Oryzias latipes: one gene and its partners. The protein of the gene in region 1 interacts with the protein of each later gene in a pairwise test. Links are inferred from orthologs where the notes say so. Each region holds a gene or a part of one and is shown on either strand. Other genes may lie near its edges.

The links.
Region 2: the proteins of arl6ip1 (region 1) and c5h12orf10 interact in binary tests that used the Homo sapiens proteins (3 or more experiments, as listed by UniProt). The two-hybrid records come from large-scale screens. The link is inferred for Oryzias latipes from reciprocal best matches to the Homo sapiens genes ARL6IP1 and MYG1.
Region 3: the proteins of arl6ip1 (region 1) and sucla2 interact in binary tests that used the Homo sapiens proteins (3 or more experiments, as listed by UniProt). The two-hybrid records come from large-scale screens. The link is inferred for Oryzias latipes from reciprocal best matches to the Homo sapiens genes ARL6IP1 and SUCLA2.

Annotation. Positions count from the first base shown.
Region 1 is NC_019866.2:2,354,204-2,362,519, reverse strand, and holds the start of arl6ip1 (ADP-ribosylation factor-like protein 6-interacting protein 1), read left to right. Parts: upstream 1-3,559; 5' UTR 3,560-3,686; coding exon 3,687-3,722; intron 3,723-4,761; coding exon 4,762-4,895; intron 4,896-5,914; coding exon 5,915-6,034; intron 6,035-6,807; coding exon 6,808-6,925; intron 6,926-7,132; coding exon 7,133-7,217; intron 7,218-7,637; coding exon 7,638-7,756; 3' UTR 7,757-8,316. Other genes in the region: serine/arginine repetitive matrix protein 2, read right to left, coding at 1,056-1,151, 1,358-1,605. UniProt on the Homo sapiens protein: Positively regulates SLC1A1/EAAC1-mediated glutamate transport by increasing its affinity for glutamate in a PKC activity-dependent manner.
Region 2 is NC_019863.2:10,356,195-10,364,410, reverse strand, and holds part of c5h12orf10 (UPF0160 protein MYG1, mitochondrial), read left to right. Parts: intron 1-1,734; coding exon 1,735-1,857; intron 1,858-2,210; coding exon 2,211-2,392; intron 2,393-8,216. UniProt on the Homo sapiens protein: 3'-5' RNA exonuclease which cleaves in situ on specific transcripts in both nucleus and mitochondrion. Involved in regulating spatially segregated organellar RNA processing, acts as a coordinator of nucleo-mitochondrial crosstalk.
Region 3 is NC_019879.2:13,984,075-13,991,953, reverse strand, and holds the end of sucla2 (succinate--CoA ligase [ADP-forming] subunit beta, mitochondrial), read left to right. Parts: intron 1-1,795; coding exon 1,796-1,957; intron 1,958-2,048; coding exon 2,049-2,191; intron 2,192-2,370; coding exon 2,371-2,491; intron 2,492-2,657; coding exon 2,658-2,746; intron 2,747-3,487; coding exon 3,488-3,562; 3' UTR 3,563-4,707; downstream 4,708-7,879. UniProt on the Homo sapiens protein: ATP-specific succinyl-CoA synthetase functions in the citric acid cycle (TCA), coupling the hydrolysis of succinyl-CoA to the synthesis of ATP and thus represents the only step of substrate-level phosphorylation in the TCA.

The DNA of each region.
Region 1 (8,316 bases):
TGTGACGGTGTGGGATTTTTGATCACCGCGGTGATGAACCAGCAGGCGGCGCTGTGTCGCGGTTAACCGCAGGTTTACATATTGAAGTTCAAGCAACAAACTCTATTGGGATCAGTCTAATGCCACGTTCACACACCGGCCTCGACAATGCCCGTTTAAACGACCACTTCCAATGAAAAGTCTGTGTAAACGCATGTTTCAGGCTTCCGCGTTCAAAACTCTCGTGTTTGTGCGTCGCTAAGGACATTTTTAAGACAAAACGCACAGCCATTCAGGTTGAACAATCAGGGACTCTGACTTGGTAGTGACTCCCATGGAAGGCGTCCATCTTAATTCACAGAAGTACCAACCGTTTGAAAATTGATCATTATAATCATTGAAAATTAATAATCGGGGTTAGTGCCTGGCCATAATTATATGACACCAAGTCTTTCATATATCGGAAAAGAGATGTGAAAAAAAGAAGCCTGGAGCTAGATCCACAAGATTTACACCCCTTCGACATTTCGCACCAAGCGACTGTGAGCACATGCGCTACGATCAAGAAGCGCTGGCCCAGTGTGAACATCATATAATAATAATAATAATAATAATGGATTGGATTTATCTGTGCTTTTCAAGACACTCAAAGTGCTTACAGTGTGTCCATTATTCATTCACTCCTGATTCATACTTGGTGATGGTAGCTACTGATGTAGCCACAGCTGCCCTGGGGCAGACTGACAGAGGCGTGGCTGCCATTTCGCGCCTACGGCCCCTCTGACCATCACCGGGATCATTCATACACATTCACACACCAGTGGAGCCACACTGGAGGCAAGGAGGGTGAAGTGTCTTGCCCAAGGACACAACGACATTTTGGCTGGTGGGAGCGGGGATCGAACCGCCAACCCTTCGGTCATTGGACGACCCGCTCAACCACCTGAGCCACTGTCGCCACTATATGCAAAAAGTGCATCCAAGAACCTGCGTTCAGCGCATTCTTGACCGTGCAACACCTGCCCTGTGTGTACGTAGCTTAAGTGCGATGCCAGAATTCCAGATCAAGTCCTTACGTTGGTTTCTGAGTGCTGGAGGGAGGCGGCTCCTCCTTTTCCTGAAGCATCATCCTGAAACTGTTCACCTTTTCCTCAATCTCTTCTGCTGCATACCTGAATGACCAAACAACAGAGACAAGCCATAGCTACCTTAATATGCAGTTTCAGATCAAACACGTTTTTTCCCAACAAAAATATTCTATTCTAAAATAAAAACAGCAATCCTTCATGAAAAAGGAATATAGTAATGGACAAAAAGTCTGTTTAATGATGTAAAACTTATTGATAAATAATCCTAAAATGGTTTTGTAGTTCTTTACCCTTGCTCCTCCATCATGTCTTGTAGTTCAGCACATTTGACCTCTAGCTGCCTCTTGCGCTGATGCTCCAGGATGTCCGCATTGGGCTGCCGGTTCAGCTGACTCTCCAGCCTCTCCCGGTCCTTCTCATCTCGTTCGCCGCCGCGCTCGTCCCGCGGGCGCTTGACCCGCACACTCGACAGGTTGCGCTGCACATAACCGTTGGTGCCGCTGCCCCGCGGAGTCGTCAGGCCGATGCCATTGTACATGGCTCTGCAGAGGAAAAAAGAGGTGCTGAACCTAACTTTATCCCAAATTTACAAATTCCTGTGAAGGAAAATCTTTCATTCCTAAGTGTTTGCAGAACTGAACTTCCACACACATCTGCGACGACCTGCATACTAATAAAATAAGGGCAGTAAAAGGGATTGTCTCATTTTGCCAATGATGCAAATATATCAACCAATCTATTCCATTTATTATTATCTCCATTAATGTTTTATAACCTGATAAAGTAAACATTGTGGATACACAGAGAAAAAAACGTTATTATCCAGGAAAGAGAAATATTGTATATTTTAGTTTAAACTCAGAATCAGAACATTCAAGGTCTGTTGAAATGCAATGTGGCAGAGCAGCAGATTATTTTAACCCGTTTTAGATTTTCTTCAAACAAATAACATGGGAATACAGTGGATTACGGTTTCCATATCATTATCTGACGCATGTCTCTTTTTAAAATGGCAGACGTGGCGATTCCCTTGTCAAGATCGCTTGGTATTTTTAATCTGTAAAAAAAACTGATTTTAAAAATAAACCATAAAAGAAAAAAAAACAAACCTAAAAGTGTGAAATCAGTGGTGCATCACAAAACGAAACTCTCCCAGCAACAACAATTGGGTAACAATCTGGTGAGCCGAGTTTACCGTACAGGCTCGAATGATAATCAGCCTTCAACACACATAGTAAGGAGTCCGGAGACTCAAGAAAACGTGCGCACTCACTGTTAAGTTGCATTTACGAGGAAAGTGTTGTTTTTTCGACTATAATACACGTGCGCAGACATAGGCCTTTTGCTGTAAGTGACTTTAAAACTTCACTAATGTCATCAGAAATACTACAAAAAATGTATTTCTAGGCTATACTAACGTTTTATGTTTAAATAAATTATCCAAGAAGGCCTGAATAAATTAAACAGGTAGAATTCACGCATTAGCTAGCTAACTAACTAGCATGCTAATATAACAGCTACGTACCAATTTGTAGGTTTCGCTCGATTTTTCTTTCTTTTAAAAGAAAATACCGAACTTATATCAACTTAAACTTTGCGTCTGATACCTTACTCCACTGTCAAATTGGTCGAATTGATCCTCAAAACAACCGTATCCTTAGAACAAAAGCACTCTTAGCACTGTTAGCAACCAGATAGCTCTCAATTCAACCACGGCATAAGTGAGAGGAAGACAAAACTACGTCACACGTTCAACAGTCGTCCAAACCGTGATGCGTTCAAGTGCCGTAAGATAATAGTAGGAACATTGATGTTCATGAGAATTGCGTAGTTTAGTAATGCATTTATTAACTACATTTGCTTATCATTAATTTGTAATAAAGTGAACTGAGCCACAATACTAAACAAAATTCTAAAAGGTATTATTTTTTCCTGATATACTGAAGTAAAGGTTAAACCCATTAGTAATGAATTCATTTAAAAGTTTAGAAGCGTTTCATCAAACCATATTAAAATTGAAAAATAAAATGTGTAACTATCCATTTTTTTCTGAAATATTATTCAGCTAGTGATATTTTTAAAATTGTTTTACAAAATTGTATATTTTACTTTCATCTGTGAGCACTTTTCTGTTGTCTATTTTGAATTTGTTTCTAAAATATTCAGTACGTTAAAGACGATTTTGAATTTTTAACTCAAACCTTTAAAAGGAAACGTGAGTCACTTTTTTAAATTTCCTTATTTCTAACAAACGTGTTTTTTACTATTATTTTTATTTATTTATTTATTTATTTATTTATTTATTTATTTATTTATTTATTTATTTATTTATTTATTTATTGGACATAGCGAAGGGACATTTTTAAATGTATGGATGTGTTTTATTTAATTGCTTTTAAAAAGGACAATTGTCGGTGTGCAGAGAAGCATAGAACTTCATTTCCCAGAATGCAAGTGGTTAAAGTTGACGCAGGTTTTGAGATAAAAACATCCTGTCTTAGCTCGACCGTTAGAGACGCCGAAGCAGCAGGTGGAGTGCAGTCTAATCCCCAGCTCCAGTTTAGCTGTAGAACTTTAAGGGGTTTCACGCCACAAATCTAAAACACCGAAACCACCGTGATGGCTGAAGGCGACAACAAAAGTTCAAACGTAATAGTAAGTGCACAATTTCCCTCCTTTTCTTCATCTCGTGACGTATTTTGGTGGTTTTAGCCTAATGTGTTCAACGTTAGCATGACTCGCAGATGCTAATTTTACTAGCTTTTCGCCGCATAATATTTCCATTAATGTTCATTATTAACTTACAAACTGTTAATAATATTAACTTAAAGTTTTGTTTGTATATGTTGTTAAAATTAGTTGAGCTTTCCACCGCGACTCTTCTTTTTTAACGCTAGTAGCTAACGTTAGCTAGCTATCTAGCATGATTTTTAGCTGGGTTTAGCCTTCATCGATCGAAGATTTTGATTGTTGAATGTTAAAATTGCATAACATAAGCTTTAATTCTTAATAATATAAAACGATATATGATTCTTCTTTTGGTTTTACTAACAGAAATGTTGGCATGTACGTTGGTTATTTCTCAGAGACGCCCCAGTGGGTTTAATTAAAATACTCCCCGCATTATAATCGTTTTGCGGAACATGTCTCGTTGCGGATACTATAGTTTTAAAGCTCCATTATTGCCTAATTTAAGACTTCCGCTTAATTGAGCCACGTCATTTCCCCAACTTTTAGAATAAATTACTCAAACCAAACTGTTGGTTTTTGGGCTTTTGGCTGCAGTGCCAGACCCTCCTAAAAAGAGTTTAGGCCTCATTTCAGTCACAGTGCAGCATTAGACTAATGATTTAAGTGTCACCCTGTGGGTAATAATTTCCAGTGAGTCACAGTTTTGTTATCAGTGACTCTGACTGATAGCTTTTGTTTTAAGGAAGATGTTTTTAGAAAGGGAAAGGCTGACAAGAGACCAAACAAAGAAGGGAGTGTATAGACAAATATTCATTTGTCGTTTTAACTATTTATTCAGGAATGTTCCTGAAAGCTTTCTTCTGTTTTTGATTCATCTGCTGTCAAAATAGAGTAAAAGCAGGAATAAAAAAAAAAGTCATCAAAATAGAAACATTTTTTTTTACTGGGGACTCCAGACTGGTTGGTTGGTACCGGGTTTGCTGAAGCAGTGTTCTGTGTTTAGGCTCAGGAAACTGCACAGCTGGAGGAGCAGCTGCAGGCCTGGGGAGAGGTGATCCTGGCTGGGGATCGTGTTCTGCGATGGGAGAAGCCCTGGTTCCCTGGAGCTCTAGTGGGAGCTACCACCGTGATCTTCTTGTAAGTCGGGTTTACTCTATGCTGGGTTGGGTTTTAGAACATGCCATACCAGAATGGTTTCATCTGGGATTCTTTCATTTTTCTTTCGGATGTCTACTTTTAAAGATCGACGCTTGAATTGTTAATGAGGTGACCTGTAAGGACAAAAGGAGGATATATAGTAATGTCGCTACAGAGAATTTGCTCTGAAAAGTCCAATTTCCATGAAAACTTGAGAAACTCTTCATTTTTATGTTTCATTCTTAGAGTTGAACAACAATTGCTTCTTTCAGGCCTAATTTTGTTGCAACACAAGGTTTTTCTTTGCCTGAGGGAAAGTTTTCGGTTCTCTTTCACTCTGCCTTCAGTTTTTATCAGAGTGCAAATGCAGTTGTGTAAATGTTTTCAGAGTTGAGAGAAGTTGGTAAATGAAAATGTATGTAAGGATTTAAAACTTTTAAAGGTAGTCAGACTCATTGACCCACGATGAGGGAATCTCACCTTCTTGGGATCTTCAGTGCTGTTGCCCAGACTTGCGTAAACTCATGTCGGCACATGGAAAAACTGAGGTTTACGGCTATTACCATGTGTTCTCTCACATCATGCTGCATTAGACACTGAGTTGTTTGTATTTGCCAACGTCTCTCTTTTTAACTTCCCGTGTGCTGCGCTGCGCCTTTTCCTGTAGATTTAGAGCTTTTTGTATCTGAAGTCATATTCAGAAAAAAAAGCTGCAAACTATCAAACATTTCTAGTTGTATAAAATATCACAGCCTGAAGATGCAGACTAGCTTGTTGGGTTTAAAAAGCACTTTGTGTTTTGTTAAAATCACAGTTCAGCTGCTTTCTTAATGTGCTGCATTCCTGTTTAATTCCCCCAGTGTCCACGCCCTTCCTCCATCTGCAGCCCACAGTTGGATGATTGTTTATCAGCCTCGCAATACTTTTTCAGATGTCGTATTCATAACCGCACAGAAACCTCTGTGTGTTGTTGTTTTTTTTTTTCAAGTAGATGTTTGAATGTTTGCTTCCTGTTTCAGGCTGGTGTATTACCTGGACCCGTCAGTGCTGACTGGACTCTCCTGCACAGTCATGCTGCTCTGCTTGGCTGACTACTTGGTTCCCACCCTCGCCCCCCGAGTATTTGGCTCCAATAAGTGGTGAGAGGATCACCCAACCCTGTTTTGATTCTTAGTTTGGCATCAGAGCCGACTTGGTTGACAAAAAAGTCTGAATGGTTTTGTCTTCATGGTGGACTTCTCTTTGTCAGACGTGATGCCTAAACGGAATGTTCATTGAGCTTTGAAATGTCAGAATGAGCTGAGAAGCCAGTTCACTGAAAACCAGACACCATGACGGCAGAGCGACACGCCGCAGGTGGCCAAGGGCGCCCTTCATCCCTCTCTTGGTGTCTTAGGTTTCTGGATATTTAACCCCCCATCAGCTGTCCGTGACCCGCGCTGCTCTACTTAACACAAATAGCAGCAGACGGGCTGGTGGTGTTCAGCAGCTTTTATTTGACTGTCTATTCTGGGTCATCTGAACCTCCAGTATCTGTTCGGATGACGTTTTTCATTTTGCAGCTTCAGCCAGGCTGTCGTTCTGTCTGACCAGCTCGCTGACTTTTGTTGTCCGTTGCTGAGACTGCAGAGGAGTCTGATCAAAACGATGTCCTAAGGTCGATGAATGTGACTGAGCGTGCTCCCGCTCTGAGAACACAGGCAATGACTCGGCAAAGTGGGGGGGCAGTGCTCCAACATGGGGGTTTCAAGAAAGTTTTCCCTTTTTTTAGTGAGGAAATATTAAGGCTGTGAACATGCAGAAACTGCGGTCAGCAGCCATCCATGAAGCAAAGCCGCTTATCAAAGTTTAATAAAACGAGGTCACGCTTTCTCCCACCCCTCACACAGTGTTCTTAACCGTTTGAGTGCAGGACTACTGAGCAGCAGCAACGCTTCCATGAGATTTGCGGAAACCTGGTGAAGAGTCAGAAGAGGGTTGTTGGCTGGTGGAAGCGTCTCTGCGCTCTGAAGGAGGAGAAGCCCAAAATGGTAAATTTAAACGCTGCAAGTGAACAGCAGAGCGTTTGAAACTGCGGCCCAGATTAAAACTTCATCTGACTAGGCTGAGCCGGTCCGCTTGTAACTGGGTTACAAGCAGCAGGAGTCCCAAACTTTAACATAAAGCACTTCCTTTTTGTTTTTGATGAGTTTCTCTCTAAGCTCAGGAAGTTCTCCCCCATTGTTTCATCTTCACAGTACTTTGCCTCAGTGATCAGCAGCCTGCTGGCAGTGGCCTGGATCGGACAGCAGGTGCACAACCTCTTCCTCACCTACCTGACTGGTAAGGTTGTGTCTTTGTTGTGTTGTCGTGACAATGTGCTTACTCTGCAGTTTTTCAGCTACTCGTGACTTTCAGGCTTCCTGCTACTGTAGATCAATCCACAGATCAATGCGGGCTTTTAGAGGCGCACCCTCCTGCTGTTTAAACCTGTGACACATCTGCTGATTCACAGATGTGTCACAGGTGAACCTCTGTCAGCTCCAGCGCTCTGAGACATGTCTAGAAGTCAGAACAAAAGTGGAGAGCAAGTTTCTTCATGATCACTTGTGCTTCATGTCAAGTCAAACTTGTTCCTCCAGCTGCTTTCTTCTTTTTAAAAAAAAAAGTTTTTTTTGCATTCTGTTCTTTGTGAGAAATTGTGTTGTGCAAACGGTTCCAAAAGCTGACGCACCGTATTGATGGCGGTCGCCTCTTCTGCAGTGAGCTTCCTGCTTCTGCTGCCCGGGCTGAACCAGCACGGCATCATCAGCAAGTACGCGGGCATGGCGAAGAGGGAGATCAACAAGCTGCTGAAGCAGAAGGAGAAGAAGAACGAATAGACACGACGAAAGGCGCTGGAACGAAGCGTTGCCGAGGACGACGAGAGGCTCTGTCTGCAAATAAAACGCACTTTTTGTTTTTCACACCTTGGAAAAAATTGGCCGTTTTCACACCTTTAGACCTCGCCACCCTTCAGTTTTAAAGACACCCGTGCATGCAGCCACAGCTTTAGGTTTGTCACCTGTGAACGGCACAGCCCACTCTTTGTTTTTAGGTCAGGTGAGCTTTATTTTAAAGAATCTGCGATACTATGACGCCACTCGTTCTTAGACTTTGACTACTGAAGCAGCTTTTTATCCGCTCTCACAATAATCATGTTTTTTGGGGTGAAGTTTAGATAAAGAGCCAATTCTGAGGTTTCACTGATGTAAGACGATTCAGCTTTAGCGGGACTGAACCCAAAACTGGATTTAAGGCTGAGCTGATCAAGAGTCCAGACTGCTGAACCCACACAAGCTGGACCCTGTGTTTGTTTGGGGGGAGGGGGGTGTACAAAGCTTCTCATGTCTGTCCGTTCTGTTTGTTTTCTCTCATTTTCTTTGTTCATAGTCTTTACAAT
Region 2 (8,216 bases), on another chromosome or scaffold:
ACAAGCCTGGACAATTTGTAGCAGAAATGGGAGGGATACAAACACACAACTTCAACTACTCACTTTTATCTTTTTAACATCTGAAGATTATATCAAAATATCTACAGAATTAGAACTGGAACTTGATTATATTTCAGAATTGAACAATTCTAATAATTGGATTTGCCGATTTACAAAAACAGTCATACAAATAGTTGGCAAGCATTTGGAGATTATTTTCCAACATAAAATAATATTTAAAAAAAGATTGAAAAAAAACATTTTTATTGTATTTATTTATTATAAGCAACATTAAAATTAAAAGTTCAGATGAACGCTAACAGACGTGTTTTATATCCTTTAACATTATGTTACACCAGACTTTTAAAGATCCACTTTGATGAAAATTGTGTTTTTGTTGATTTTTTAATTTTCTTGTCACATTTATATAACAAAAATAAAGAAAATTAGGCTTAAAATTGGATTTCAGAGTATTTATAAATCAAATCATTGTAAATCAGGAGTGGACTGAAAATGCAGTTTGATGAAGTTTGTAGTTATTTGGAAGCTACATCCGGCAGGCCACAAGCTTCCTGCTCCGCTCCATTCCGATGCATCCACTTGCAGACAAATAGATCCATGAACATCTTTGTTTTCCTCGTCTGAGCTGACATCTGGCTCATAACTGTACGACTGGATAGCTCCAATATTGCCCACCATTTTCGTTGCACCGCTAATGTTAGCTTGGGTGCGTGAGGGGCTGTAATCTAGCGGGAGAGAGTGTAAACAAATGGGTGATGGGAAAGGGGGGGTCGAGTTGCTCCACGCCAACAGTCCCGCCCACAACTCAGAGGTGAATTTCTGATGACCTCCTGCCGCTCTGCAGAAACTATGTCCTAGAAAAGCAACACAGGTTTTTCTTTATTTTGGCTAAATATATAATAATAATAATTATTATTATTACAATTAATATTTTAATTAAAAGACCACTGGGAACACTTTTACAATAGATAAACTGATATTTGGAATTGGACTTAAATAACTTTTCTCATTGATAAATGTCAATTGATTATTCTTAGAAAATGTGATCTAAACTGTAGAGTCATATATATTTTCAGTTTTCATTTCTTTAAAATATAAATAAAGGTTTTTCTAGTCTGTTGACAGTCGCTGTGGCTAAACAACAATGGAAAATGTGCAGAGTGTTGTGGGGCAGTGGAGTCAAATCTGTGCCTGAAGGTTAATTATAGGCAGATGCAAAGATAGACTTGGAAAAGGACCTAATTTATTTATCTTTGTTGCAAATGCCGAGTGGAAAAGCCGGTCAGGAAAGAAGCAGATGTTCTTCAGCACAGAGAGCACAGCTTCTCACTCAAGTCCATTATAAAGACACGTTTTCATCTTATTGGAGTTTTCCGGATGTATCTTTCATTGTGTCAGGCTTTCCTTTTAGCTCCCTTTAGGTGATTCTTGAAGGCCATTAGAGACTGCGGCTCGGCGGGCTGTTGCAGACTAGGAACAGATCTGGCTCGAGTAGAACTGTGATGATTTGTGTGGAGCTGCTCGTTCAAATCTTTATCTCCTCTGCTATCTGACTTTAAAACAGAACTCGGTTCAGTGAAATTTTGGTGACAGATGTTAGAAATGAATTGATTATATAAAAATGGTATCTCAGTTTCTAATAACCTTAATGATAATTCTAACTTGCGCTCTTTGTTTTTTCTTCTTTCTTTTAAATGAACGACATTGTGTTAGGAGGGTTTCAGAAAGGCAATGAAACTGGTTGGGGAGGAGTTCATGGACCGCGTGGATTTCTACAAGTCCTCCTGGCTTCCAGCTCGTGAGGTGGTGGAGGCAGCAGTCAAGGAGAGACATCAGGTAACAGAACTTGGTCCAGATTCTGTTTCTATCGTTTTGGCCAAATGCAGCAGCTGCAGTGACTGACTGGTTGTTCTTCCCGTTGTGTTTGCTTTATTAATGAAGAGTTATTTATGACTTGCCATTTACTCCTCAACACCGATCTGATTGGTGGAAGCTAGTTGCAGATGGACAGTCATTATAATGGCTTTTTTTATTCAGACATTTTTCTGCAAGTGAAAAGGATAATTGGTTGTGCCACCATATTTTATTTTTTATATTCTACGTCGTGCTCTATATTAACCCTGATCTCCATGTTTTTGCAAACAATGATTGAGTTCCATGATTTTGTGCTTGTCCTTTATTGTTTTCAGGTTGATCCCAGTGGGGAGGTGGTACTGTTCTCTCAGGGAGGATGTCCGTGGAAGGAGCATTTATTTGACTTGGAGAATGAGCTCCAGGTGGAGACACAAATCAAGTTTGTCCTTTACCCGGACCAGAACGGACACTGGCGAGTCCAGTGTGTCCCTGCTGATCTCCACTCCTTTCAGAACAGGTACTCCTTTAGTTTTTAGGATTATTTTAAGGCAAGAATCTCAACCACCGTTTGTTTCAAAGTCACTTGAAGGTCAGTCCTGCCCTCACGAGAACAGCTTTTGATCGTTCATGTTAGGGGAACGCCTTGACGGAGTTACAGTTCCAAAGTCAGGCATGCGGAGCTCACAGGAGAGTTGTGACTGTCTTACAGAAAAGGAAATTTTACCACAACAAGCTTCTTTGAAAACACAGCGACAAGCACATCTTTTGGGTTTTCCAGCTGATTTGAGCTCTTGTGACAGAGATGAAACAGGGTACATGATTTAGCTTTCATGCTTGCTCTGGCGTTTGACAGCCGCCCGCAGAGGGTGTACATGTTCTATACTGAGAGAAGATCTCTTAACACAGATAAAAATACTTGTTTGTCATAAGACAGAGACGCTTTTGTCAAGGCAGCGGTTTTGTTCTCACATTGCTCCCACAGGAGCTGAAAAAGATGTAAACACTGTGAGCCACCTGAGTCCCGTTTTACACGCGCACACACACCTGCACGCACACCCACACACACACACACACACACACCCACACACCCACACACCCACACACCCACACACACACCCACACACACACACATACACCTATCACTCAAGTGTTTCTTTGCAGGTTTTTTTCATTATAATGCATATTTATGCATTGTTGACCTTTCTCATGTTTAAAAATGTTTTAATAGCAATATGACTTTAAATAATAGCTGCGTTTCTATTGCAAATATGCGCAAAACTTAATCGAAATTCTAGAAATGCCAAAAGAAAACTGCAATTTCGCAATTACCGGTACTCTGTTTCCATAAAATCATTTATGCGAATAAACACAAACCAACTCGCATTAAGTCATTCAAAAACAGGGATGTGAGCTAAGCTTGGATTTGCAGCATAACGTTTCAAATTTCCGTCTGTGTTTATCTCATGGAAGACACAGAGGATATTTAGAGATCGGATTTTTATATTGTGATTGTCCACACATGTTGATGCCAGGTCTGAAGAGGTTACAGAAAAGAATCCCACAATCTCTAAAAAACAACCAAAACTAATTAATGGTTCCATTGATATGTCATGAATACTCATCATATTTATGCTACAAAATAAAATCATAATTTATTTGTCAGAGTGGAGATGTATAAACTACATCTGATTAAAAATGTTCAATGGTTGTGGAGATACTAAAGCTACAGTCACAACACTTTCCCCACATGACTAATCTTTACTAGTTAATAGTTAACTGTTTTTACTAGTCAATATAGCTGTACTAGTTTTACTTGACTGTCAAAGCTACTTCATAGAAGTGCTCTGTGTAAGTGTTAAACAATAAATGAAGGTTAATAAAAGAAAAATAGGGGAAAAAACCCAGATCTGTTTATTAAATCCATTCATTTTTTAAATGTTTTACAAAAGTCTCGGATTGGGACTCGGAATCGGCAGATACTCAAAATCAAATGACTCTGAATCGGAATCAGGGCCAAAATAAAACCTGATTGGGACATTCCTATAGATTACAGTTACAATGTTTTGTGATTATAAATCTGACAACATTAGAATAACTGTAAAGAGCAGGTCTGTGTACTGTCCCCCATCAAAAAGTCTGTACCTGAGTACAGGTAAGTGGTAAGCTTTAGGCTTTTTTATGCAATAGTATTAGAAAACATTAAGGAAGGTCTATGTTTGTGCCTTTGGGTGTAGCTCAGGTACTTCTAAAGACTGTCAATGAGAATTTGCACTGTAATGTTTTTAGATGATGATCTATGATATAGAAGGAACATTTAGATATTTAAGCCTCTGATGAATAATTTGAACCTAATCTTAAGTTAGCTACAAGTAAAATATTCACAGAGACATCATTTTAGAAGGTGATAATAGGGCTGAAGATAGATGACTCCCTTTGGTCTTGGTTGTAGAATCATTGCAGACGTTTGTCCTGTTTTTAGGACTGCATCATGCTATGGTGGTTTTCTCTAAACAGACATGGAAGCTATGCTCTTAGTATTTTGATTTGGGATCAGGAACCAACACTTTTTCTGTGATATATATTTTTACTACAGGACGTTTTACAAAACGTTATGGTCTAAAAAGGCAGATCCTGGAAAATTGTAAAAACAAAAAGTGTCCTGGACAGAGTTCTGTGAATCTCATTCTTTTAAAAATGTTGCAAGTGTAACAGGTAATGAAACTAAATGTAGGTGTAACTGAAACAGAAAAAGCAAGAACAAAAATTAAACAAAAAACAGGAAATAAGAAGAAATAGAATAAAGAAAGCCTTTCTTTAGGATTTTTAGTCTGCTTATATTTTGACATGAAAATACTTTTCCAAAGTTTTGTAAACAATATATCAAGCATTTAAAAAGGTATGGACAAAATAATTGGACAAAACATGATTTAAAACTTAAAATGTAAATAATTGCAACAAAATAAAATAAAAAATTGGGCAGGGTCCATTTTAAGGTCACATATTTACAATATTATTATCAATATTTATGTAGAAAGTAAAGTAAGAAGTTTCAAAGAAAAAAAACATCCCTAAAATCGAGACTTGTGGAACCCCAAAGGAGCTGTAAAGCAAGTAATGCTCACAAATAGCCAATCGGGTACCGTGTACACCAAATCTCACCAAAGTTATGGCGCCTGGAAAGTAAAATTTTGTGGTGTTTGCAGTAGTTTCAAATTCTTTATTTGAGACACAGATTCTCATCTGCTGATGTTTTTGCTCAACAAATGCTGACTGTTAATTCAGTGAGTCAGTTGCTTTGATTTTACACAAATTCAAACACAACCGGATTGGAAGGAAAAGTTTATTTAGCTGGATCTAATGAGTGTTTAGTGTGCTAGTTTGTCTTTTGTTTGTCTGTCGTCTTCTTTTCATGTATTTAAAGTATTATGTATCTTTCATTAACCAGATGTAAATATTTTAAGTGAGAGAATGTCTGCCTCACACAATCTCTCACACACTGCACAGCAACAGCAGTCAGATAATCTTGATTTCTAATCATGAGCTTCAGCTGCTGTGCTTCATGCTTCTCTTTGAATTCAACTTTTTAGTTGTAGTTCAGGACAGATGCCTCACGTTTGGATCAAAAGGCAAAAATGAAGCGTAATTATAATACCAGTGTGTACCATTTTTACCTGCTTAGCAAGGAAACAAGTTTTTAGTGTTTTCTTAAATTGTAAAAAGCAAAAGGTACACTGATGGTGGCTGGATATAAAGTTCCATGGTATTTGAAATAAAACACTTTCTCGACGGCAGATTTTATCAGCTGTCTTTTCATTAAAGTTAATTCTGTAAAAGCCATAATTAAATTTCATCTATCAGCACTCTGCAGCTGGTGCTGACACTCGGACGAATATTGTTTGGCAGTGAAAAGGCAAAAAGGTTTTGTAACAGCGTAACACAACCACAAGTTGTTTTTCTGTTGTTTCTTTGAGATATTTATTTGACATTTCATTTGTTGTGCTGCTTATCTCATATTTAGGCAAGTCTTTTTACACAAATTTATTTAGGAAAAGCAAAAATAAATGTTGTTTTAGCGGGACAGTGTTGATTTTATGACTTCTTTGTGACTTGGTATCACTTTTAAATGAGCATAGGCACACTTAATGATAGTTTAAAGGTCAGATTAGATTGACAAATATTACCATCACTTTTCATAAACTTTAGATTTGGTTATTTTTTTATTAATATGTCCTACTACATGAATCATTAAAGTTTAAAACATGGATTCCTCTGTTCTCATCTCGCTGATGCTGATCATGTGTAAAACTAGATTCTTTAATATATTTATAATGAAATATTTGCAGGAGGTCAGGGTTAGTCAGTGCTAGACGGAGGGATTAATTGTTCTTCACTCAAAATGAAATTAAACTTTAATATCTACCATCTTTTTGTTATTAATATTAAAATCGGGTGAGCTTTTACTCACATATGTTGGAATATGGGAGTATGTGTTTTTGGAAACAGCGTCGTTTAGGGGATCAATTTAGGACAGACTGAGCAGATGACGATAAATGCTTGTCCTCTTTTTGCTTTTTAATTAAAACTCAAAGTATTTTTTTATTACATTAGAAATTGCTGCTGAAAAAAACTTTTTAACAAATATTTATGAATTTAGGAAGATATTCTCCAGAAAAACAAATCAGTAATGCAACAGCTACATTTTGAAAATCATAAAATGGAAATAATTTAGCAATAATACACTTTGGTGTTTCCTGTCTTCATCAGACATTAAAACCTATTTCGTGTTGGAGAGTCATTCTTTCATTTGTTGAAATGCTAGAACAGAGGAGTTATTCTTGAACTGTCCTTTTACTTGAACCAGAATATGCTTTTAGCTTGGCTATTCACTGGTCTCATTACTGATTAAGGGTTGTTTGAGAGCAGTGGGAGCCTTAGAGGGCATTGTGCCCGTTGACACTGGTAGAACGTGAATTGCCATTCTTTGTCAGTTTCATCAGCAGGTGCTGTGTCTATATTCACCTCTTTTTACGATCTGCCTCTCTGGCTCTCTAACAGTTTTTTTGGTTCTCTGCTTCGTTCCTCATTTACTTCAGTTTTTTTCTCTCCATAGCATAATCGTCTTTCTAGTTTTTGAATTAATTTTTCTCTTTAGTTTCATATCATTATCGTTCCTTATGCTTTATGGTCATTGAAATCGTTAAAACCCTTTAAGCAATTAAAATCTTTCATTAATTGAAAAGTTTAGCTATTTTCTGAAGTTTTTCTAGTTTGTAGCTAAAACTAAAATGTTTAGCCTTTTAAAACCTCAGATTTTCAGCATATATTTCTAGTTGGAAAGATAATAAATCAGGAATTCTCCCTATTTTATAAGACTACCGTAATTTCCGGATTATAAGCCGCTACTTTTGTCACACGCTTTCCACCTTGTGGCTTATTCAATGATGCAGCTAATTTATGCATTTATTTAATTTTTTTATGCATTTTTCTGACAGGCGCTCAAGCAGAAGGGGTAAGAGTGAGACAGGGGGAATATGGTCTATGTGTCGAGGAAGACACAAATTTACTGTAAATTCCCGCATTGTGAATGAATAGCACGAACAGACCCTCATCATGGAAAATGCAAGAAGAAATGCATATGACGCAGCTTTCAAGTTAAAATTAATCATTTAAAGCAGTGTGAAAATATCCACTATCACCAACGGGTTTGGAAAAGCCGGTCTGCTGCGTGACGGAGAGGACAGCGCAAGCTCAGGAGAGAATTGGCCTCAGGATGAGAGTGACACTGACAGTGTCACTTAGACGTGCGCCTATAAGTTACTGCTGCTCTCAGTGACTTTTTTTTTTAACTCTCTCTCTCCGTGACTTTTACCGGTATGTTTTTTTAACCACCCCTGTTAGTGCTCTTACTACCATATAGTTGCCGTGTTACTGCCGTGTCACAGGCACTGTTTGGAAGAAAAGCTCAGGTATATTATTAAAAATGTGAAAAATCTTTCTGTGTACCGTCTTTCTTTGTAAGTGTTGAACCTTTCCTGCGATTAATTTTTTCTTTCTGACGGTGGTTGGAAAATGCAGGTGGATCTTCTTTTGGGGTTCACTTCCCCGTTCGGAACCTCAGAGCCTCCATAGCGGGTTAATAAAGAATCATTCACAGCTCTTCCGGGGGACACCTTCTTTTATTACAGTTCCCCTTCACTCTGTATATCAAACATAAACGTGCACCCCCAACACACTTCCGCTGTGTGCTCTCTCTCCCTCTTGCACTGCATGAGTTCTCTCTGCCTTCCGCTGCACGCGCTCCCTCCTCTTTCTTACACATGCACACCATTTCAGCACATGCA
Region 3 (7,879 bases), on another chromosome or scaffold:
GGAAACATCCGTAGGATGTGCGTGCGCACGGTTTTATAAATCCGAATATTTCTGTGCGTACGCACGTCCTATGTTTCATCCGTACACCACTTCTGACGCAAATCCTACGCAAAGTTTTATATATGAGGCCCCAGAACCCACACCACAGGGACACGGACGCCCCCAGGCTCAGATGTGATGTGGTCCCCGGCTTTAAATGAACATTTTAAACACGAGCATGTGGATTGAACAAGTGCGAGTACATGTAGAATCCAAACTTCTGGGTTTACGAAAACAGTTTTGTTTTTATATTTAGAAAAAAAAAAAAGAATTTGAAACCAAATAGAAAACAAACTCCACTGTGTGTTTACTATACTACAGAAGGAAAACTTCCTATAAAACAACACTCATACTCTGATCCTGGGACATGGAGAGCTTTGACCATGCTCTGCACCAATACTCTCCAAAGCCCTCTGTGTCAGGGTCCTCATCTTCTGTATCTAAAATGAACAGTTGGGCTAAATTTCTATCAAATACACCAGATTCCCTTTTCATCACTATCAGAGTATGTCTCGTTGCCGTGCGGCTCCTCGTGAATAATGCCGGCCTTTGTGAAAGCTTGAAGAACAGTGAAAGCAGACAAGTTAGCTTAAGCATCCACAATCCATTCACAAACTGACGTAACACGCCTGGCGCTGCCTCCCAGTCTTAGTGAAAGACTAAGACTAGGTAAAGGAGGGGAAGATGAAAAGTTTTTCATTGTAATCTGCTTGAAGTTGCGGCGCCACCGTAGTCCTTGCCCTGATGGAAAGATGGCATCGTTTTATAAAACGAAAGCACCAATACTGACCTCCTTGAAAATATTCAATTTTCATTTCCTCTGCAAGCATTACTGTCTTCAGTCATATGGTGACTGTAAAGAGGCTTCCTCCAGCTGGCTTGACTGTTCTCTGATCGTTAATCCATCGCTCGAGTCGGTCTTCCAACCCAGGCCACCTGGCCTTGTTTCTGCCGAAAGTCTTCCTGACTTGTCGGAGTTCGTTTTCCATCTTCAGACATGCAGACATGCTCAAGTTCACGTCAGGTTTAAGTCAAACTCTGTTTTGTTCAAAATAAATTAAACAAAGAATTCCTGTAAGGTCTTCCTGCAGAAAGCAATCTTTTAGAAAAGTGAAAAATGGTCAAAGGTTGAATTTGTTTTTGAGCTCTTTGTGCGACTCGGATGGCGAAGCTGTTAGTTGATGAGTGAAAAGCCCAAAAGTCTCATAAAACACTGCTGGATCCATCTTAACTGAGGCTGAAGCTTTTATCCCATCAGTTACCCAAATAGTTAAAGTCATTGACTTATATGGCTGTCTAATGATCATTCTAAAATTATTAGCAGAGGTGGACATGCGTCTGTTTCTGGAGTTTATTCTGCATTTTTGCATCTAGAAAATGAAGGGAATTTAGCATGCCAACGTGCCTTTAGGCAAAGCTGATCTGGTTTTGTTGTTACCAAACTGCAGCAGCAACCGAAAGAAATGGAATTGTTTTCCCTTTTCACTCCAGGTTAGAGCGTTTTTTAGAAGAGACCACTGCTGAGGAGGCATGAATATTTTTCAATCTAAAAGAAGACGTGTGACGTTAAAACAAACTGAGTGTTTTAGTTCTCATTTGTTAAGCAACAGAAACCAATGCTGTGACTTTTAGGTCTGAAACTGCCCACATCCACAAACACTCAGACTGTGGAGTTTATTTGTCTTCTCCGTTTTTGTCTGCCCATCATCTTAAGAGCTTAGTCTGTCTGATCAAACATCATATTTTTTTCTAACAGTGATGTGCATGGATGCAAAGATCAACTTTGACTCCAACGCAGCATATCGACAGAAAAAGGTCTTTGAGATGAGGGACTGGTCTCAGGAGGACCCCCGAGACCATCAGGCCGCCACAGCTGACCTTAACTACATCGGATTGGATGGAACCATCGGCTGTCTGGGTCAGTTCCATGATCATGAAACCTGAGACTGGTCTTGATCAGCTAGGAGAAAAAGATGAATAATCTTGTTTGTGGGATTTGTTCTCTTTAGTAAACGGGGCAGGTCTGGCCATGGCGACTATGGACATCATCAAGCTGCACGGTGGCACTCCAGCCAACTTCTTAGACGTCGGGGGCGGAGCCACAGCACATCAGGTGACCGAGGCTTTCAAACTCATCACCTCTGACAAGAAGGTAAGACGTGTTGTCTTTGTCTGTGAGTCTTCTTTCTGCTTCTATGTCAAAGGGACTCCTTTTAGAAATTCCAGTTTCTTAGTTTCTCTTCATCATATTTTACAAATGTAAGTACATCTAGAAATCTCTAAAACAGATTTGTAAACATGTTTGTTTTCGGCTGTGGTTTTGCTCTTCAGGTTCAGGCCATCCTGGTCAACATTTTTGGAGGCATCATGAGGTGTGACGTCATTGCCCAGGGTATCATCATGGCCGTGAGAGACCTGGACCTCAAGATCCCCATAGTTGTACGGTTACAGGGTACGGCACACCTGAACAAAGAAAGTGACGAGCTTTGTGCCCCTGATCATGGATATATTGGAGAAGGGAGCTGAGGAATGTTCTCACTCCCTTTTTTGGTTGTGAAATAAAAAAAGGTTCACGGTTCTTTTCAAGCTGCTGATAATAAAAGTTCTTTTGTCTTCAGGCACAAGAGTGGATGATGCCAAAGCTCTGATCGCTTCCAGTCCTTTAAAGATCTTGGCCTGTGATGACTTAGATGAAGCTGCCAAAATGGTACTTAAAACAAGAACACAGACATCTTTTCCATTTTAAGAAGCACTTAAGCACCATGGCATGTGTGTACTTACACTGACATAGCACAGCATGAGTATTTATAATGTCAAAGACCCACTCCAATGAAAATGTTGTCTATAACTTGTTCTTCTGGCATCTCATGATGGAGGAAATATTTGAAGACAATTAACTTAAAAAGTTTTTTACTTGAGTATTTATTCAAATTGTTGTGAATCAGGAGCAGACAAAAAATGTAGTTTGAAAGAGTTTGTAATTTTGACGGGCCACAAGCTCCCTGTTCCACTCCATTCTGATCATCCACTTACAAATAGATCCATGAACGTCTACGTTTTCCATGTCTGAGCTTGGGGGTTGTGGGGGGCTGTAAGCTAGTGGGAGAGAGTGCAAACAGATGGATGATGGGAAGTGGGGACGGGCTTGCTCCACACCAACAGTTTTACCCACAACTCAGAGGTGAATTTCTATTGAACTCCTGCTGCTCTGCAGAAACTATGTCCTAGAAAACAACAGGTTTTTTATTTTGGCTAAAATTGGCATCATAATAATTAAATGATCACTGGGAACACTTTTACAATAGATCAAAAGATGAATGAAGCTGACATGTTTCAGGTGCAACAAAAAATACATCTTTATGTGGTTTCTTCTTGTTAAGTCTGATATCTGTTGTTGCCTTTGATATTCTTTAATGAAGGTGCACTCTTCCTCCTATGTTCTCTCCAGGTTGTAAAACTTTCAGAAATCGTCTCTTTGGCTAAAGAAGCTCAGGTGGACATCACCTTCCAGCTGCCCATCTAAGAACCTGACCACCTCTCTTCCAAACACCGTTCCCCAGATCGCTCTTCTCTGCTCACTAGCAGCAGGACTGAACTCCTTAGAAGACAAATTCACCTTCCTCTTCATCATCTGTTAAGGATTTTCAACATCTTAAACTCAAACAAACACCCTTCTTTATTTATGTTTATAAATTTGTTTCAACCCCTCATCTCCTTCTACATGACGCTCCCACAGGCTGTGTTGCACTTGAGCCGATACGCACAAACATTTCACCTCCTCTTCATCCTTAGAGCAGGACTCGTGATCAGTCTGTTTACTTCTGCACCTATTTGGTTAAAAAACAAAACATTCTCAAAAGTCTAATAAAGAACAACACAGCAGTCGTCTCCTCAGTGTGGTTCTTGAGCGCCGTAATGATTGAAAAACAATAAATGTGTATCAGCAAGGAGATGAAGACGAATATGCTGCAGCCTGTTCCTATGCTTCAGCTGTGAGTTATTTTTCATGTTTCTCAGCAAACAACAGCTGATTTATCAATCTGACTGAAAGGTCTGGAGAAGAGTAATATTTACCACAGCAATGTGAAGGTTCTGTGTGTTATCCTCCTGATTTTACTTATTTAACTGAACACAAGAAAAAAACATATTTTGTATATGTGGCAAACTGAATCCTCTTTAAGTGCTTTCCCAACACGAACCTGGATTTTTATCACTGATCTTGACTTAACGTTGTTTGATCAGAAGTTCAGACTTAGGATCACGAGTCTCGCATTTGAACATTTATCTCCTGACATCCTTTAAAAAGCAAATGTATTTCAACTTGATACTGGAGTCCAGACTAGAAGTCTGTTCTTTCTGACTTCACTTCTGTTTCCACTTCTTAAAGAAAGATCATTGGCTGTTTCTCTTTGCTGTCCTGCCACAGAACAAAAGACTTTTAGCTTTCTATTTGTAGGTTTGAGTCTTGTTAGACGGCCAGACTATAAAGCAGTTCGTCATTTTCTTCTCCTCTTTCTCCTGCTGAGCTTCGAACACAAGCAGACAATGTGAGATGTACGTCACTAATTTTACCATGTAAATAACAAATGTTGTTCTGTACCATATTTATGCACCTCACACAGAGGACAAACCGGTAAGAAAAAGAAATAAATGCTGGGAACACCAGTACTACAGTGTGGAGGCCTTTCTTTCAATGAAGATAAATTTTAACTTTTTTCACATCAATGCTTAATGCTGTGGTCTTGAGATCATCCCATAATTGTGGCTTAGAATGCAAAAATATCACTTTTGGTTTCATAAGGTTAAATAAAAATATACATTTATTACTATTTGGTTCATAAAGTGAAAACAGGGCTGCAAACTTTTCAGAAAAGCTTGGAGTGAGACTCAGACAAATGAAGTCAGTCTTTACGGCAGTAAGTCGTAAAACAAGGCAAGTTTAGTTATGGGAAAGTGTAATTATGAAATAAAGCACCTTTAGGTAAAAAAAAAAGACTTTAAAGAGCAACAAATTATTCACCTTAACATGAGAAACAAAGAAACTAAACTACATACTAAGACCAGACACAAGGCATTTTGAAAAAAATTAAAAACTGTCGCTTGTAGAAATTATTTGTGGCCTTTTTTGATGGTTTGAGAATTTCAGTGGATGGCTCCCACTTGAACCATGGCTTAAGGCCTGCTTTCGTAACCCTTGTGCTATTCTAGGCACTTTAACATTGGGAGTTGGGTCATCTAGACCGACTAGACAGTGCTCTGAACCTTTTTTCTTCAATGATTTGTGGTCTTCGCTGGTGTCCATGGATTACATGAAATCTTTCCACCTTTATCCACCTTTGTCATGGTAGGAATAACACGTCAATGGAAGGGTGGGGTCATCTAAGATAGCACAAGGGTTAAAAAAGGAATCACCTTGTCTGGAGTTCCAAAAGTGGGGGTGGACCGAAACACAATAGTCAGCAATGCTCCAGGGGGTATTCCAGAAAGCAAGAGTAAACTACCCTGACTTTAACCCTGAACTCGCCTGAACTTGCTTACTCTGAGTGCTTAACATGAAATATACCCCCATTTCAGGGAACACAAAGCTGAGGCTATCTACTTCCTTAGCCTCAAACTTACCGTGGGAGCTAGCATAACCTGCTTTCTGGAATACCCCCCAGGTTTTGGATAGTTGTTTGTAAACATCTGTTAGTTATTTAGTTTCGAAGAATTCAGAAAAGGTTTAAGTTTTTCTCACTTGTTATAATGTTCTTTATTTAAAGTTTGAAAGTTATATTCTTTAGTTCATATTATGTGTTTAAAAATGTGTAGATTGTTTTTATTATTACAGAATGCTTTTGAATATTTAAGTTGCAATGTTATATAAAGTTCTTTTTACAAGCTTTATTTATGCTTTGTGGTTGTTTGTGGTATAAACATCCCACAGTTTAGATGAGGTGCTGCAAAACATTCAATAAACTGCTAACAAAGTACGTTAATACATTCTATAACCCTTGTGCTATCTTAGATGACCCCACCTTACATTGACGTGTTCTCCCTACCATGACAAAGGTGGATAAAGGTGGAAAGATTTCATGTAATCCATGGACACCAGTCAGGTTCACAAATCATTGAAGAAAAAAGGTTTAGAGCACTGTCTAGTGGGTCTAGATCAGTGTTTTTCAACCTTTTCTGAGCCACGGCACACTTTAACCTTAAAAAAAAATCCCGCGGCACACCAGCATCCAAAAAGTTTTAAAAAAGGAGAAACTCAGTCTGTATTGATCTACAGCCCCTCCCTCCACAGTCTCACATGCATTTTTGAGATAATTGTTGCAGAAAAAGCTGGAAACTGCAGCTGTTTTTTTCTAAAAGATGCAATAAAAGTTAAGTTAGAAGATTTAAAAACAGTTTGAAGTGTGTTCGTTGGTTTCAAGACGTTTAACAACAGATCTCCTTGTGCGCTGTCACTCTCTCAACCCAATGCATCATGGGAGATGTAGTGCATAAAACGGCCGGCGGAGATCGCTTTTCGGAGCTTCATGGTTTTGTTCACTTGTTCCACGGTCTGATACCGGACTCTGTGGAAAGCTACACCGCTAAAGACGAGCTTTAGCTGCTATTTTTGTTAGAACTGAGCGACTTTACGAGCTAAATCGGGACAAGGAAGTGAAGACTTTAACCACTTCTGATTGGTCAGACTGATGACATGTGATTAAGCTCCCCAACAATGATTGGTGGAGACAGTTAAAGGGACGGGACTTTTCCAAAATACAGCCGGAGCTGCAGCTGAGTCGTGGTAACGTCATTCTTATCAAAATGTCTTTAATAAAATAAAATAAACGCAAAGAAAAAGTATTTTAGGATCTTTTATATTCCTAACTACTCAGTGTTTTATCAGGGCCTGTTTGGATGAACAGAGAGCTGAAATCCTGGAGATGGAAAATGTTGTTAAATCAGCTAATGAGGGCAATTTCTCCACGGCACACTTGACCATCTCCCACGGCACACTAGTGTGCCGCGGCACACTGGTTGAAAAACACTGGTCTAGATGACTCAACTCACAATGGTAAAGTGCCTAGGATAGCACAAGGGCTACTCTATCTTACACAGAAGTCTTTAGGTTACCTGGGAGCTGGGAGTTCAGCTATCCCTCCAATTCTATGGCCGGAATGAGATTTGCATCTCCATGGTTCTCAACTGGAAAAAGGTGGTTAGAGGGCTCCTGCCTCAAGTGGATGAGTTCAAATATCCGAGGACAACAAGGAAGAAGCCTGAGATTGACAGGAGGATAGGTGCAGTGACTGAAATTATATGGTCCTATCCTCACTTGTGTTAATGAGCTTTGGGTTATGGCTTTAAACTCTTAAAACAGAGAGTTAAAAGCAGAACTGTAGACCATAAAAAGTATCCTTGCACAAGATTTAAATGATCTGAATGATCAACAGAGGGGTTCAGCAGTATAACTTCTAAAATATTTACTGGTCCTAAATCATTAACTTATTAAGAGGGAATTAACAAAACATTAAACAGATGTAATCATCTTTTTAATTCCTGCAAGAGCAGCATTTTTATAACCTGCAGTCAGTGCTGTAAAGAACCATGAAGGCCTAATAAAATACATTTTATAGTGCATTGTCTATTCAGTTTAAATCTGCTGCAGAGATTTTACATATAGAGTGGTTGTGAATAAGATCCTTAAGGTTGATAGAGCCACATCTAACCTCATGGTGGCAGTATTATCCTCCGTCTGTGAATTCTGATGTGAGGCACAACAGTGACTTGTGGTGAGGTTGATGGCTGGTGAGACCGACTCCTCTGGAGTCAGATTTTCAATTGCAAGAACTGAATATCTCACCAT